Mus musculus: one gene and its partner. The protein of the gene in region 2 interacts with the protein of the main gene of each other region in a biochemical or structural test. Links are inferred from orthologs where the notes say so. Each region holds a gene or a part of one and is shown on either strand. Other genes may lie near its edges.

Region 1 (4,603 bases), on a different chromosome or scaffold from region 2:
AGATGGCAGGGCCAGGGTGGAACAGCCTGCTGATGAAGACAAAGCTACTACTAATCTCTGCACTCTGTAGCCTCCAAGCTTTGGAATAAAGGTAAAAGCTGCAGGCCTAATTCTGGGTAGGGGGCCTGGAGACCCCAGATGTGTATGAGCCTGGACTCCTCTGCCTTCAAGACCCCGGGGCAAGTCCCCTCCCCCACTCTACCGGTTCTCCATCTGTCAAGTGTGCTCTGTACCAGATGATCTCCAAGGCTTTGGCAGCGTCTCCGTCATTCCCCAGGATAGGGGCCTCAGCACAGGCTCCAGCAGCCACCAGCGCTGCTAGAGGGATGAGCAGACCTTGAGGGTGGAGGTTGCCCCATCCCCAGCAGCTAATGAGCCTAGGAGAGGCAGAAGGGGGTGGAGTGTGGCCTGAACCCCACCTCTCAGCATAGCCTCCCGAAAGGGAGGCAAGTTTCTCTGCCAGCACCTGCCTAAGTCCAAAGGGGTTCATTGAGGCAAGTCTCTTCCTCAGGTGAGAGAGATGAGGCTAGCCAGCAGGGTACAGGGGTTCTGGAAAGATCTTGGGAGGAGGAAGGATGGCAATAGGAACTGCTGATGCTCCCACCCTACACACTTCAGATAAGGTCTTCCCAGGGCAGCCTCATCAAAGTCCAGGCAGGAGAGTAGGTATTTAAATTCCTGATTAAATATCTTGAGGGACATAGAACTCACCACTCACAGGTTAGTGACTCTATTTCTTATTCTTTTTTTTTTATATATATATGAAAAACATCTTCCACTTTGGAATCCTCCAGCTGGGGTGAACTTAGACCAAGTTTGGTCATTCATTCATTCATTCATTCATTCAAGTTTTATTGATAGGTCCTGTGGGCTAAGCCTGTGCCAGTTTGGGGACAATAAACATGCCAGGGAAAAAGCTGTTGCTACCTTGAGGTATTGTCTATGACTGGTATCCCAAAGCCAGGGAAGAGACTGGCTGGGCTGAAACTGCTCAGCTTGAGAAAAGAAGTCAAAGACGCTTGAGCATCATTAAATAGGCTTTAGTGGGTATCCTCCCACCAAGATTGTGTAACAGAATTCCACCAGGTGACTGTGTTACTGAGAATCCTCTAGTGGGGAGGATTTGGAAGATATGCTGCATTATCCGATTAAAGCGGATCGTGGAATGCTTCTCCTTAGAGTCCCACCCCTGAGGCGGCAACATCACCGTCCTCAGCAGCTAAGAGCTCTTGCTGAGGGCCTGGGTTTGATTCCCAGCACCCACGGTGGTGACTCACAATCGTGTGTAACTCCAGGTCCACAGGATCTGATGCCCTCCTCTGGCCTCTTGGTGCGCATGCACATGGTGCACATGCAGGCAAGATACTTGCACACAGACAATAAAATAATTGATTATTGATATCAATACTATCTTATTGATAGAAGACATCCAGGAAAATGTAGTTCTCAGCACGTGTATCTACCTATATTTCTTTCTCTCTATACAAACACACACACACACACACACACACACACACACACGACAATGGAGCTTGAGGAAAGGAAAATGTTTGGGTGGGGTCTTAGAGTATTAAACACACTGACCAGGGTCTTGCCCTCTTGTCAATGACAACGGAAAGGTTTAGGGGAGACTAGCTGCAGTTAAGGGCTATGTCCAATTGAGTACTCAAAGATTCGGATGTAGAAGACAAGAGGGGTCATCACCAGGCCTTGGGAATTCCTAGAAGCTTGTCTTCCCCTCCTCCAAATCTTGTCTAATTCTCCAAATCTTGAATCTTTAATTCCTGGTTCCACTCTCAATTGGCCCCTACTCTGGTTTAAATTTTAAAAAAAAGGTTCTTGTCATATCTGAACTTGAGGCCGACCTTAGACTCTCACCTCACATACCTTGATCTAATCTTGGCACCCAAACCTGCCCTCTGAACAATTTGCACGTCTTAAGCTTAACTCTCACTTTCATCATCCAACCGAGGCCCAGGCCTCACTCTAGATCTCAATGAACACCTGGAGCAGCAAGCCGCATCCCACAATGCCCCAAACATTCCAGAATTCTGTAGCTGCATTTAGAGTAGCTCACCCCTCCCACACACCCCACTTCGACTCCCAGGTTAGCTTTGATAGTGGTCCTTCCTTTGCCCAAAAGTCCAGAAGGAGCTGCTGTCTCCCATTCTGTCTCAGCCTCAGCCAGCATCTGGTCCAGCTGTAGCTTCCTCTCTCCATCATCCTATCCCACCTCGACCTGTCTCCCATCCAGATCTCTCTCAAGCCCATTTGACACAGTGATGCTCAAGGGACCCGCCCCTGCCCCGCCCCTCACAGGAGCCACGCCCCTTTGGCATTAAGCCGGCCTGTGGCCCTTGCCCCTATTGGAACCCTGACCCCACCTACAGCCCCGCCTGTCCGCCTCGCACCTGCAACTCCTCGAAGGCATCGTCGATGCCAGTGACCTGGTGTTGCTCGTGCAGCGCGGGCTCATCACAGAAGAAGCAGAGCAGTGCGCGGTCCGTGAGGCAGAAGAGCTTGACCTTGTCGTGAGCCTGGCAGGGTCGCGCGGCTCGGCGCGCGTTGAGGATGGCGTCCAGCGGGAAGGCGCTGTAGCGCTCCACGATGTTGGCCAGCTTGAGGCTGGGCGCGAGCGCGGGCTCGGCGAACGTGCGCCGGCACTCCGGGCAGTCGCGGGCGCCCTGAGCCTCCTGCCGCACCCAGTGCTCGGTGATGCAGCGGCGGCAGAAGTAGTGCTCGCAGCCCAGGCTCACCGGGTCCTGGTAGATGCTCAGGCAGATGGAGCACAGCAGCTCGTCCTTGAGGCTGCACGCCATGGCGCCAGGGGCGGCGCGAAGCGGAGCCCGGGAGGCCGGCGGCCGGCGCGGCGCGATTGGGGGCGGTACCCGGGGGCCAGGCCCACGGGGGCACGGGCGACAGGCGCCGGGGAGCGCGGGGGGAGCTGTCTGCGACGCCGGAGGCGCGAGGGCTCGGTGCCGAGTGGGTGCCACCCGGGATGCGAGCACCGGAGCTCGGTTTCGAGGTCCTAGGTGGCCACCAGCGATGGGCGCTGGAGGAGAGAGGCCGAGGGCGTCCCAAGGAAGGGGCTCCAGGCGAGGAGGATCTAGAGGACCAGACACTCCCAAGGGATAGATGCTGCGAGGAGGAGATCCCGAAGAGGGGCGGAATCCCGGGACCCGAAAAGCTTTGAGAGGGGGTCGAGCTGGGGATGGGGAATTCTGCGGGACAGAGCAGCCAGACCCAGCCGCACCGCGGCTTTGCCCGGCAGAGCAGAGGAGGGGTGCCGGCCCACTCAGCTGCCCGACCCTGGCCGCAGATCCCGGCCCCGCGCGGCCCCTTACCCGCACCAGCTCAGCGGCCACCGCTTCGGTCCAGCGCAGCCTCTCAACCCGGAACCAGCCGAGCCGAACTGCCCGGCGCCCAGGCTCCCTCTCCGCCCCCGCGGGCGGGACCCGAGCCGCTCCGCCCCCGCGGCGGGCGGGGGGAGGGGAGGGGCCTCCAGACCCCGCCTCGCTGCCACTGTGCTCCTGACCCCCAGGGACGGGAAAAACAGCTGTTTCTTCTGGGTCTGCACAGCTGTCAGGTTTGTTTAGGGTCCTGGCGGCAGGGGGCGAGAGGACAGCTAATGAAGAAAAAGTGAGAAGATAGCACCTAAGGAACATCTCTCCGGATGATCAATTTGAAGAACTAAGGGCAATAATAACTGAGTATTAAGACAAGACGGTGCTCTGTAGTCTGCATAGAATATATAATGTTTGCATAGATTGTAGTGATAAAATTAGAGACTTGCCCTGTTGGCATGGGCTAAGTTCAAAGTCGCCATTCTCCTAAACCTTTAGGTTCTATTTCCTCTTCCCTTTCTAAGGAGGGCTCTTAGTAGAAGATTGTGGAGAGAACCCTGCCTAACGTCTAGCTCAAAGGTTCTTTCCATTCATCGGATGTTTCTGCATTGCTGTGTGAGCATGTGTGTGAGTGTGTGTGTGTGTGTGTGTGTGTGTGTGTATAAGAAGTTGGAGTAAGAAAAAAAGTATAATGGGAGACCTTGTCATCTCTGCCAGATGGAGGGGAGGAAAGGGATTTCTAAGAAGGTGAAAGAGAGAGACAGACAGACAGAGAGACAGACAGAGACAGGGAGAACAGAAGCATGAGTGGGGGGGGGCACATGGAGACCTGCATGCTGTTCTGTTCTGTTCTGTTCTGTTGAGAGTGGGATAAGGAAGAAGTTTGGGGAAGGTGAAAGGCATGGGCATCTTAGAGAAGAATTTCTTGAAGGTGTTGGGCTTTCGAGCAGAAAAATGGCCTGCCTTGGTTTGGGTTTCTTGGTGTGCAAGATACACACTACATCATCAGTACAGTGAAGGAGGGGGACCCTTTGCATGCATGCAGTGCTAGGCACGGGTGAGCAACTGTGGCAAAGCCGAGGCCTGCAGGAGGAAGGAAAGGCTGGCCCCAGGGAGGTGGTTGCTGTCTCAGGACCTGCAAGAGGTCAGTTTGCACCGTGATTGTCTGTCAGGATAAGACCATCAGGAAAAAAAAAAAGCACCATGACAATTAGTGGTGGATAAAGGGGGTGATGGGGAGGAGGTATTGAGAGTGTGTT
Region 2 (3,418 bases):
TGAAGCTCTTGTCCTGAGAGGCCAGGATATGGGACATTAGTCTATGACTCACTTCTCACTTCGCTCACAGCAACAGCTTAGAGTTTGGCCAGCACTCTTCCCTGAATCCAACCCAAAATGAGAGAAAAGGGACAGCCCAGTTTAAGGGGACAGGACCATGTGGGAGATGAGTGTGAGGTCAGGTAGAGGTTGAAGGCCAGGGAAGGACCACTCTATGTCCACACTCACCTCCTGGGAGTTCCTGGGTGAACTGTCTTCCAAGTCAGAGCTCTGTGGCCACAGAAAAGGGAGTTGGTCAGTGGGCTGTAGGGGTTCCAAGCACCTGGGTATGGGGTGTGTAGGGCATGGTAAGAGCCCCATCCAGGCTCCATCCTCTAGGGAGGCCCTGCACATGTTTCTAGATATGCCCAGAATATGTCTTTCTTAACACTACACTCCAAGCCACCTGAAGGTTACTCCTTGGTCAAGGCTGCAGTCATTGGAGTGGTGTGGATAACCTTGAGTTACATCTGTGGCTGTCACTTCGCCATGAAGAGCTCTAATGAGGAAAACTGGGATTTAGGAAGGCCAGGCATTTTCCGAGGCCACAAGCAGGGCAGCAGTCATGGCAGGTTAGTGATAGGGCTGCTTCCAGGCTGATGGTTCCTCTTGGAATCCTGCCTTGACTTCACATCCTCCCCAGCTCTCTCACTGCCCAGCCCACCCTGGCGACAGCAGACACAGAGGCCTACCAGGATGAGCATGTCCAATTGCTGCTGCTTGAGTCTGCCCTCGGCGGCCAGTAATCGGCTCTCCGTCTGGAACAGCTGTAGCTGCAGCTCATCTGCCTTCTCACCCAGCTCTCGAACCAGCTTTCGAAGCTTATCTTTGTCCTGAAAGCTTTGGGTACACTGTGCATGCAGCTCTTCCCTGGAGGCCATAGCCTGTAGGAATAGCAGAGGGCACACCCTCAGCAAAGGACCTGGTTGATGCTCTTGGCTCTCATTTGGCAGTTCAGGTCCTGGCTGGACATCAACCACCCTGGTGTATGGCTGGAACTGCTGAACTGGAGGGATTCTCAAAGCAGTCAGGGCTCTCAGTGTACATGAACAAACCCTGGGCGGAGTTGGAAATGACCAGATTCTTAGCACTGGGGAGGCAGAAGTGGGATCAATAGTTTAAGGCCATCTTTGCACATATATTGAGTTGAAGGCAAGATTGGATTACATGAGACACTGTCTCAGACAACAAAACAAAACACTTCAGAGAAGCAGCCAAAAAAACCCGTGATTAATGCTCAGTAGTTCATAGGAAGCCCAACTGAGAAGTCCTACATCCCCAGCAGATAGCCAGTGGGTGTTTCTGTCCCACCTATGTGACATATTTTATAAATTCTGGATGCAGCTTGACATTAAAAAACAAAACAAAAACAAACAAACAAAAAAAAAAACAAACAAACCAGGATTCATGGCTGTTCTTAAATGAACACAAAGGTTTTTTTCTTTTGTTTCTTGGAAGACAGTTTCATTATCCCAAGGTGGCCTCCTATTTACTGTTAGCTGAGGTTGGCCTTGAATCTCTGACTCTCCTGTCTTTACCTCTAAATCCGGGGACCAGCATGCTGGGACTGCCATGTACTACCAAACATGGCTCAGCTGCTACCGCTTTTGTTATTGTTAGTGGTGGCTTTTTGAGACAGGGTCTCACATTGGACCCCAAACTGGCTTGGAATTCATGGTAAATCAGGCTGCCCTTAAATTCACAGTAATTATTTTGTCTCAACCTCCAACTGCTGGGATTGCAGGTGTGAGTTGCTACTACTGCCTCTGCCCGGGAGCCACCACAGGTTCTTGTACCAAATGCTCCCTACCCACAGCCTATGCACCTAGCAGCTTCCTCTCCCTACTGAAGTCTCCCACCTCCTTACCCCACCCCCACCCCCACCACAGGGACTGCTGTGTTCTCCTCCCGCATAAGCTCCTCCTTTGAATAAGGTAGACTTTGATGCATTTGTACAAGCAGTCCCGGGTTCTGTCTTCCAACACTGCCAAGTTACCCTGAGCATAAATAAAAAAAACAAAACAAAACAAAACACTTTGACTACTGCTCCAGTGTCTGCCGCACCAATACCCCAACACTCCTGGTTCTCCGTTTCTGAACACAAGTGTGGCACCTACCTGGTCCCTCTCAATGGAGACCTCCTCCATCTGCAGCAGGATAGCCTCGATACGGTCCTTGTACATCTTGGCATCCTTGCGCAAGGCCAGGCACTGCAGCTCGAACATCTCCTTTTCTTCCGTGCACTACAGGAAGCACCACTCAGCCTCACCCTCCCCTCCCTCCTCCTCCCCCTGGGCTGGACTCAGAGCAACAGCTCCAGGGCACACAAGGTCTGGGATAATGAGGAAGGCACTGGAGTTCCAGTCCAATCTAATCCAAGACTAACCTAGTCTAAGACCATGGCCTCAGCCACCATTGGTCACACTGTAAGCCCAAAGGGTGACACGGCACTACTGTGTACTGTACGAATTGACAGTGAGCCAGGTCCCAGACCCCACCATCCAGGATCCCAGTGGGCATTGCTTGTCTGCCCTGGTCTCTCACCCGGGCCCGGAGGGTCTCAGCCTGGCGGAGGTCCTTCCGTAGGGAGAAGATGGTGCTGACCTGCTTCTGGTGTTCCTGCAGTGCTTGACGCCAGTCCTCCTCCAGCACTTGAATGTATGGACTATTCCTGTCTAGCTTACCCTCCTGGAGGTGTCAGAAGGCAACAAGCCTGGCTGAGGAGGCCCACAATGGCACGGCCACTGCAGTTGTACCATCTGGTGTGCCCAGCTTCAAGCCCCTGCAGGCATGAGGCCTGATGTGCACTGGTGGGTCTCCCTACCTGCACAGAGACCTGCAGCTCCTGCACCCGGGCCTGCAGCAAGTCCTTTTCCTGCTGTAGTTCCCACAGCAGCTCCTGACTAGGCCGCTGCTCCATGGCGTGCCTGAGCTTCAGTGTGTGTTTGCGCTCCACCTTGCAGTCATCCTCGGCCTTCATGAGGCTGTGCCTGAGCCGGTCCACCTGTGGGTGGCCCAGTCAGCTGCAGCCTCCTCCAGGCCACCCCCTGCAGGTGGAGAAAGTGATTACCTCAAGCTGCAGGTCACGGTTCCGCATGAGTGCTGCGCCCTTCTCTTCACTCAGATGTGCCAGGCACATGGCCAGCTCATAGTTCTCGTCCTTGCAGCGCTTCAGCTCCGCACTGCTCAGCTCACACTCCTCCTTGAGCCGCTGCACCCGCTCCTGGTGCTTGCGCAGTAGGCTGTCCTTTACCCTCAGCTCCTTGATGAAGTCGTCCTTGGAGCTCAGAAGGGCCGTCAGGTCCTGAACCTTCTTCTGCAGCTTCATGACCTCTGTCATCAGCAGCTGCGTCAGGCCAGACTCCCCTGATGCATCTGG

What was found.
Region 1: of the proteins of Card9 (region 2) and Trim62, one has a biochemical effect on the other in vitro, tested with the Homo sapiens proteins (4 studies listed by BioGRID, with this or other methods). The link is inferred for Mus musculus from reciprocal best matches to the Homo sapiens genes CARD9 and TRIM62.

What each region holds. Positions count from the first base shown.
Region 1 is NC_000070.6:128,882,386-128,886,988, reverse strand, and holds the start of Trim62 (E3 ubiquitin-protein ligase TRIM62), read right to left. Parts: upstream 2,946-4,603; 5' UTR 2,820-2,945; coding exon 2,412-2,819; intron 1-2,411. UniProt on the Homo sapiens protein: E3 ubiquitin ligase that plays a role in antifungal immunity by mediating 'Lys-27'-linked ubiquitination of CARD9 downstream of C-type lectin receptors; leading to CARD9 activation, followed by activation of NF-kappa-B and MAP kinase p38 pathways.
Region 2 is NC_000068.7:26,354,602-26,358,019, forward strand, and holds part of Card9 (caspase recruitment domain-containing protein 9), read right to left. Parts: exon of another isoform or gene 3,415-3,418; coding exon 3,110-3,414; intron 3,044-3,109; coding exon 2,864-3,043; intron 2,728-2,863; coding exon 2,584-2,727; intron 2,283-2,583; coding exon 2,157-2,282; intron 924-2,156; coding exon 732-923; intron 323-731; coding exon of another isoform or gene 296-322; exon of another isoform or gene 271-295; coding exon 229-270; intron 1-228. UniProt on the Homo sapiens protein: Adapter protein that plays a key role in innate immune response against fungi by forming signaling complexes downstream of C-type lectin receptors.